Schizosaccharomyces pombe: one gene and its partner. The protein of the gene in region 1 interacts with the protein of each later gene in a biochemical or structural test. Each region holds a gene or a part of one and is shown on either strand. Other genes may lie near its edges.

Region 1 (4,822 bases):
GCGTGAGTTACAGTCCCGACCTTCCTTTCCACTTCTTTGTTTACTCGCACCTTCACGCCCTATTAGAGTAAAAAACACTGCCAAAAATTTTATACTATCAAAAAAACGCCATTTTTGTGTACTGCAAGAATCATTACGGTATTTGTAAATTAGCTTCCAAAACGGTTAAACTCTATTAACAAAACACACAGATAACCTCTGTGTACAGCCTAATAAAATTCTCGACCTAGTTCAACTTTCCTATGCCTATCTAAGCTTAACGAATTTTAGAAGCATTGGTTTTTTAAAATATAGCGTTATCTAAAACAGAAAAACTGTATCATCTATTAATGCAACCTAAAGTAAAAAACTATATACATATAAATTTATGAATTTTGTTACAATGTTTACTACATACACTTTACATTCAGTGGAAATTCGTGTAAAGATAATAAATAACAAAGTTTAGTAAAATTTGTCCCCTTACAGGAAACTTATAATTGTATTATTGCTATAATTTAATTGCATCTTCAAACCTAGTTTTCTAATTTCTTTCTCTATCATCCTTTACTAAAATATATCTTTACTTAACTTAACAATATCTTTATTTTTGAAAATATTGTCCAAAAAATATTCTATATACACAACGATATTTGATATAATAATTGCTTAAAAATATCAGTAAAAATATTGTAATATTAGAATTTACAAGAAGATATCTATAAATTTAATTTAATATTTTAACTTTTAACAATATTATTACAAGTTATGAATAATATCCTTCTATCTTCGTATTCCAAAAGCTTAGTTTGCTTTATCTCTTCAACATTTCGAGTATAGCGGTGATACAATATGACTGCATGCTTCATGCTCTAAACTCTTTAAATTTACTATTACAACCGTCGTTAAAACGATCCATTCGTCTACCTTTTCTTTTTTTTTTTTTTAAGTATATATTTATAAAAAAATTTTTGTTTTAAAGAACAAACCACAAGCAAAAAAAATTCATCAATGTTGTTAACAGAAAAAGATAATGCTACCATCATAATAAACATATAAAAAAGAAGAAATATAAGTATAAAACAAGTGCATAAAATGTTAGCTATTTACACAATGTTAAAATTCAAATCCCGAGAAATAATTATTGGGGCAGTCAAAGCCCTCTATAATGTTTTGCAGTAACCCTGAACAAAACAACGTGCGGTAGCGAATATAAAAAAGAAGCAAGTAACTTTAGAGCGATTTTCGAGATGGATCTACGGCATCAGCAGCACGACCAACTGGTGCAGGATGCAAAACGAATCCAGTAAAAGGTATGGGAGTCAGCGGAGGTTGATTAGGATAACCGAAAATTTTTGCATTATTCGGATAGGGTGTGGGTGTAATAGGCATATATGAGTTAGCATTGTTATGGACAGCTGCTGCCGCCGCTGCGGCAGAAGGCCAGAATGATTCGGTTGCATGAATAGGTGCTGTAAGAGGTGTAGTCGGATCTACTTTAAGTGAAGAATTTGGTGTAAGGACTTGTAAGGAGACAGGGATCGTTGGAGTAGCACAATGATTCCAATTACTTACAAACTGGGGAGTCGGAGGCCAGGGAAAGCCAATGTTTTGAGTCGGCATATAGCCTTGATGAGGGTAACCTTGAATTCCTTGTTGCAAATTCATTTGTTGCTGTTGTTGTTGTTGTTGGTATGCGAGATAACGAGATGAAACAAGGGGAGCAGGTCGTAAACGTCGTGTAAGGTTCTTACAGTTTGATACTAGCGTGGAAAGTTCGGGTAATGTGATTCGGGTTTTGGGATTCCTATCAAAAATTCGATTGAGTAGAGAATTGAGCTCTCTACTGATGGGTAAAATGGATAAAAGGGTTGATGGATTGTGAACGTAGGAACGGTAAGTACCATCAGTTTGAGAACATGCACGCTTCCAAGGGTTCCTCTTACAACACAGATTAATTAATATAATTCCCAGAGCCCAGACGTCATTTGGCGCTGTAGCAAAGCTGGATGATTGTGATTCTATAGGTTCAGGAGTTACCGGTAGCATATCTGACAGCGAACTAAGTTTTTTCACCTCCCGTTGACATTCTGGAGACATGTAAAACAGACTACCACATCCAAAGTCACTTGAATAGGGTTCTGTAGTAGCCAGACCAAAATCAGCTAAGTATACGGTGTTTACATCATTTCCAACCATAATGTTTTCGGGTTTAAGATCTCGATGATATATGCCAACTGAGTGACAATGTTCAACAGCAGAAATAAGCTGTAAAAAAACGGTTTTAATTAAATGACTATTCCCTTGATATACCTTTTTCTCCGTGATGTAAGTAAAAAGGTCGCCATTCGGACAATACTGGAGAACGACATAAATGGCGTCTTCCGTTTCTAACACGCGGTGCAATGTAATAATATAAGGATGTGAAGAAACACGAGCATGTAAGGCAAGTTCGCGAGCTTGTAACTTCTTCTGCTTTTCATTTAAGCCATCCTTACATAAAGCCTTTACTGCATACAAGGTACCGTCGTAAATGTCTTCTGCTTTGTACACGACACCATAAGCACCGGCACCGATGATAGAAACAAATCGTAAAGAATCACCCAAGACCTGACCCAAAAGGAGTTCTGGATTTTCGCGCATCATCTAATGTTTAGTAAAGATAAATTAAATAAAGTCCCAATTGATGGCGAAAATTAGATAAGAAAATAGAAAATAAGTATTTCGGATGATAAAGTTTTGAATAGCTTAAAGAACTTTGCAACCGAAACAAAAAAAAAACTTTGAGAAAGGTTAGATTTTCTAATGTCTTCTAAAATCAATGATAAAAAAAACAAAGATCGTTATAAACAGGAAAATAGTCAATAACACAATGATAGGTTTTATCTTGATCGTTTGAGGTTTAATAATATAAGGGAATTTACAAGAAAAAAATTTTTTTTTCAATTGTAAGCAGGTAAAAAATACGACAACGAAGAATGAAAAAGAGAATCGAATACGCCAATCACAGAGAAAACGACCAACATGCAAGAAACAAAATTAATAAAGAAAAGGGGAAATGCAATTGTGGAAGGAAGAGTTAAAACGAATAATATATAATGTTTATGATTAAAAAGCACAGGTCCTTTTGAGTACAACGAATGGAAGTGAGAAGGGAATGTGAATAAAAAACCGGGAAAAATGATGATTAGTATTTTAAGCAGGGAATAAAAAGTAAGAATGCTCAAGATAATCAAAGGAAACTCTAAAGATCAACGTACAAACAAGACACACAACGATTTTCCAAAGGAACAGTAAGAGAAATCGGGAAAATGTACAGGTCAGTAGTCGGTTAAAGATGGGGGAGAAAAGTAGAATTAATTTTTACCTAGTAGTATATCCTTTCCAAATTGAGGTAAAAATGAGAATAGAATGTTCGGTTTAAAAAGAAGAGAGGGGATGAGAAGGAAACACAATCGACAATCAACGCTTGCGAGTAAGTCAATAGACTTAGGTGGAAGAGTTGGACTGGGGAAAAAAGAGATGAGTTCACCTAATGTCAATAAGTATGCACAGCAATATGGATTTGTGAATGTAAAATGAAAAAATCGAGTAATTAAGAAAAGCCGAGAGAAGAGAATTCTTGAAAAGTATTTTCATCAAGCACAAAGGAATTTACAAGAAATCGTTCAGGGTAATTCCCATTTACATTGGGGAAAAGCAGAGAAGTAGTAAGTTTGGATATGGAAAGAAGTATCTATCTCTAATCGAAGAGGCTAGGGGAAAGAACAAAGAAAGGAAAAGCAGACGCGAACAAGAACCAAAGACGAAAGTGAAAAAGAATAAATAAATAAAACAAAAAAAAAATAATAAATTAAAAAAGAGGAAAAGGAAACGCGACTCAAATATGACTAATGCTCGTCGCGATGAGAAATAGTGATTTCTTTGTTAGAAAAACGAGTAAGATGGAAACTTTTAGACACGGGAGATGATAAGAATCCAAGAGGAAGAAGGGAAAACAAATGTAAAAGAAAACGAGGATGGTGGAAGGGAGGATATTAGTAAGAATAAAAAATGGTGGTTAAAGAAAAAATAAAATCCAAATTCGACAATTCAACGTTTGTTTATAGAATTTCGAAGTTTTTAATTAAAAAAAAAATAAAATAAAAAAAATAAGAATACAATCCAAACTTGTGTAGAATGAATAAAAGATAAATTTTTTAATTTTGGTTCGATTTCTAATCAGATAAAAGTAGTGTTTTCTTTATTGCTTTAACACAGTAGACAGCCGAACAACCTGAGTAAGAGTAATCGCGTTAATGACCAGGGGATATGAAAGCTGAAATCGAAATTCTGGAATTGTGGTTAATCACCCACAGGATCCAGCAAGCAAGAACGCTTTTCTAGCTTGCCAAGAAGAAAGGAGCAAGTGCAGAGATGAATTGTTGATAGCAGCGAGAATGCAAATGGGGAAGGGAACGTGAATTGTGAAAGTAGAGTAAAAAAAAAAGGAAAGCAAAGCAAAGTCCAGGCGAAAAGATCTGGAATATGATGATCGGGAAGAAGGCAACGGTTCTTCAAGAGAAGAGACGAAAAGAAAAGGAAAAGAAAATGCAATTCAGTAACTCTTTATTGACTGAGCAAAATTAGTAATATGAATTGAATTTGGATGAATCGTAAAATGGAGAAAGGATCCAACCTTCTAATATATTGCACGTTGTCGCTACGTGGCCAAGTTGCTGTAATTAGCAGTTTTGATTATGAGGTGTATGGAGGTGCAACACAAATAAGTAGTGCGGAAGTGTAGCTAGCTACGAATTCGTTAGTAGGGGAAGGCGTGAGGTTTGAGGTAGAACAAAGAAAC
Region 2 (3,693 bases), 960 kb from region 1:
CAACTGCTGGCGCTGATCTCGTCAATTCCATTTTTTAAATGCGAGTTCGTTTCTTTCCTTTTTCTATGCTTTTTTTCTTCCTTTATATAAGTAAAACTTTCTGTGTGGTTGAACTAGCACCTGTGTTTGTTATCGTTGGTGCGCAGTTGTTTTTTATTTTGAAATTTCCAAGTAGAAATTTCCGTATATCGCGAATGCATTTCCCTTGTTCATGTTTACTCCTTTGGTCTTTTGTCTTTTTCTCGACTATGCTTTATGCTTATAAAGCAACACCGCGGCATAGCTGCTTCTTCATAGATTGAGACACCTCATTTATGTGTATGAATTCGATATCCAAACATTGTTGCATATTCTTTATGATTATCGATGCGTACTATTAAATACGCATGTCTCTTGACTTTTGTTTATTTTTAGTGTTTTTCTTTTTACGACTTTCATACCGTTTATATTTTAATTCCATAATAAAAAAAATAAATTACAAAGCAAAAATATGATTAATAGGGAACGAATGACAGTGTATTAGATTTGTTAATATGCTATGGTAAATTGTTCTATTGCTTAACGTATATTAAAGCAAAAAATAGTAAACGGATGAGGAAGTATAAATTAGGTAGCCTTTGTTAGAGATTTAATTACGATGTCCGGTCAGAATCGTTTCCATTAAGCAATAAAAAAGAATCGACGTGGAAATCCCATGAATGTAAAGACTCACATTATTAAAATGGGAAGATAAAGTAAAAACTGGAGACAGCGAATGTCCAACAAAAATGGAAGATGTATGAATAATGATGAATCAAATTCGGTAACACGTTGATGGGGATTCCAAGAGAAAGTAGCAGAATTTCAAAAAAAAAAGAGAACGACAATAAAAATGAACCTTTGTTTAAAAATAAAAGAAGTCAACACACAATAAAGAATAATGAGACTATGAACAGAAATGAAACTCAAGGGAGAATTGTTATAAAAAGCGTCTGAAAGCACTGGGGAATGAATGAAAGGACTAAATTTGTTTTAATTTTTTTTCTTTTTTGTTGTAAAAATGGAAAACATGAAAATAAGTATGCAAGTTCAAATATAATAGCTGTATAGTTAGGATGAAAATTTCCTATAACAGCGGTTTAATTAATAAAAATTAATGCTCGAAAGAGAATTTCTTTCAATTTTTATGTGGTGTTCATATTCCCCTTCGGCATTAGTCATTCAGGATCGAAGAAAATTAAGCTAATTTAAGCAGTTGCTTAGCGAGAGGTGTTGTTTACACGGTCGGTGATGTCAAAAGTCTCGTTAGGTCGAGGAACATGAAATAGGTCCAGGATGGTTAGTTCGTTAGTGAGGTCTGAGGGAGAAAGAACTCTTTGGACAGGCTTAATCCTATAAACCTTTTCAGTCTGAATATTTTCTTTATTTTCATGTTCAATGCGTTGTGCAGGGGTTCGGCGAACACGTTTAGTGCGTTTCATGGGAACGCTATGTACCGATCCAGCTTTGGTAGAACGGCCGCGTTTGCTTGTAGAGCTGATGAAAGTGGTACCGGCATGGTCAACAGTTTTGGTGTTAGTGTTAGTACTGGAGCTTCCAGTACTAGTTCTGGGAGAAGTTGAGCGTCTTGCCGTATTGGTGCGATTTGGTAAAGCAGAAGCGCTGCTTGCTGGGTGACGGCTGTTGGAGGTGTTTTGAGAGCTCATTGTTAGAAGTAGAAAGTGATTGTAAAAGTAGAATATAGTTTGATGTGAATTAGATAATAGAAAGAATAAGAGGATAAGAAAATGGATGCAGAAATGAGCGACTAAGCACTCATACTTATACTAACGCAGCACATTTCTTTCAAACCCATGGCTCACGGAGGTTTTTCAATTTCGTGTAAAGTATTTGATATTTGCAAATGAAACAAAAAAAACTATTAAACAAATAAAAGATTATTTTTTTGTATACAATCACAGTACAGAAAGTGAAAATGCAAAATTTAGAAAATGATAGTAAAGACCAAATGAGAAGTAAGAAACAAGTATATTTTATGTTTTCAAATGAACTACTACTATTATATTTTCTACTCTTCATTTCCAGCTTTTAATGCTTGCGAAGTGGCATGCTACGCGGCGCGACACGCTTTTCATTTAGAGAGCAGCGTAAACAAATCAAACTCGTGTTAAGTTTCGATATCATTCGTTAGATTTCCTTAAAAAATAACTCAGGCTAAACAACATTGAATTGAATAACGCAAAAAACAGTATTACAGTAATGTGTTTTTAGAGATTGCTACATTCCACAATGCAAGCTTACCACTTTGCTTTCGTGCTCGCTCAATCATTGCATGAAAGGTAGATATATCCAGCTAGGTGTTCTTCGTATTTGCGAGTAGAGTAATTAGCAGTGCACATTTATAGTATGCAAGTTAACGATTTCTTTAGTACTTCTCTATTGACGATCATGCGTTCATCTAACAGAATGGGCACATTCCAAATGTAATAGTGAACAGGAAACTTAAATTACTATACTATACTTGACATTTTACACATCGTTTTTAGAATCAAGCAACGGGATTAAAAGAGAAATCAATTCATTGTCAACTATAATTTATAACATTAGCAAACAATATCTGGACGAGCAAAGAATGGGATCCCAGACACGATTGTATGCTGTATAAACTGGGCTTCAAAAGATCGTAAAAGGTATCAGATACCACATAAAGTCAATTATAAAAAGATTAGGGAATGCCTTTGGTACCTAATCTTTTTTAGCATAGCCAACACACTCCGTAACGTCGACAGCGTCTTTGCGGTGTTTATTGCGAATGACACCCTCAAATTCTTTAGTTTCAGTCTTATATATCAAATCCCATCTGCCGATGAAATCGAATCCATTGACATTGCGAACCTTGGCTTGATATCCTCTACGTTCTTCAGGACTCATATTAACATATTTATGATATTCAGGAGCACCAGGTGTTATAATATTATCGGCCACTAGAAGGGTTCCCGGAGCAATCATATTAAGTGATTCAATAACCCTCAAGTCAGGCACATAAAGGTCCTTCCAGTGGTCGATAAATACCATGTCCAAAGCTTGAAAACCAAGGTCTTTATGCAATAATTTCTGTTGCAGTTCGACCAAACTGTCGCAAGCCTTGCCAATCATGATGGTGACTATTTCATCCAGACCGGCCAACTTAACCAACTCGTAAGCAATCTTGGCATAATCCTCATTCACTTCCAAGCTGTAATAACGACCACCAGGAATTTTGGAGATTTCATTTCCAAACAAAATAGCTGAGTAGCCCAAATAGCCGCCTAACTCAACCATGATTTTCGGCTTCCGTTCACGAATTTTCCCAACGATAAATCCACCTTTAACATCTCCTATACACATTCTCACTCCAGATCCGTCTGGATACGTGAATTCATCGATTTCCTTAAGAACCAACTCAGGATGCCCGCGAATCGCATCCAAGCGCTCTTGAGGCAGATTTTGAATGTGTTGCAGAAACAGCTGTTCCTTTTCACTACCGTTGTCTTCCATATGAGGCATGATTTCAAATTTCGAAAGGTTGGTTAAAAGTTGATTTTCAGCTCTGCATACGCAATACCATGCACTTTATATAGTTACGAGGGATGGAATGTTGCTGAATTCGATGCACCTCGTATGTTGTCACTACGCCACGCATCTTTACAAACTACCCACCGTATCATAGGACAT

Evidence for each region. Proteins that work in one complex are often made in the same cells at the same time.
Region 2: of the proteins of pat1 (region 1) and mei3, one has a biochemical effect on the other in vitro, tested with the Schizosaccharomyces pombe proteins (one study listed by BioGRID).

Annotation. Positions count from the first base shown.
Region 1 is NC_003423.3:1,680,664-1,685,485, reverse strand, and holds pat1 (serine/threonine protein kinase Ran1/Pat1), read right to left. Parts: upstream 2,626-4,822; coding exon 1,213-2,625; 3' UTR 931-1,212; downstream 1-930. UniProt on the Schizosaccharomyces pombe protein: This protein is a negative regulator of both sexual conjugation and meiosis. It phosphorylates mei2. It blocks the onset of meiosis until conjugation takes place.
Region 2 is NC_003423.3:717,798-721,490, reverse strand, and holds mei3 (protein Mei3), read right to left. Parts: upstream 1,773-3,693; 5' UTR 1,686-1,772; coding exon 1,239-1,685; 3' UTR 501-1,238; downstream 1-500. Other genes in the region: lsb1 (SH3 domain-containing protein), read left to right, coding at 1-38; cmt1 (catechol O-methyltransferase 1), read right to left, coding at 2,725-3,525. UniProt on the Schizosaccharomyces pombe protein: Acts as a critical meiotic inducer by binding non-covalently to protein kinase ran1/pat1 inhibiting its enzymatic activity. Inhibits ran1/pat1 by acting as a pseudosubstrate for ran1/pat1 instead of its natural substrate ste11.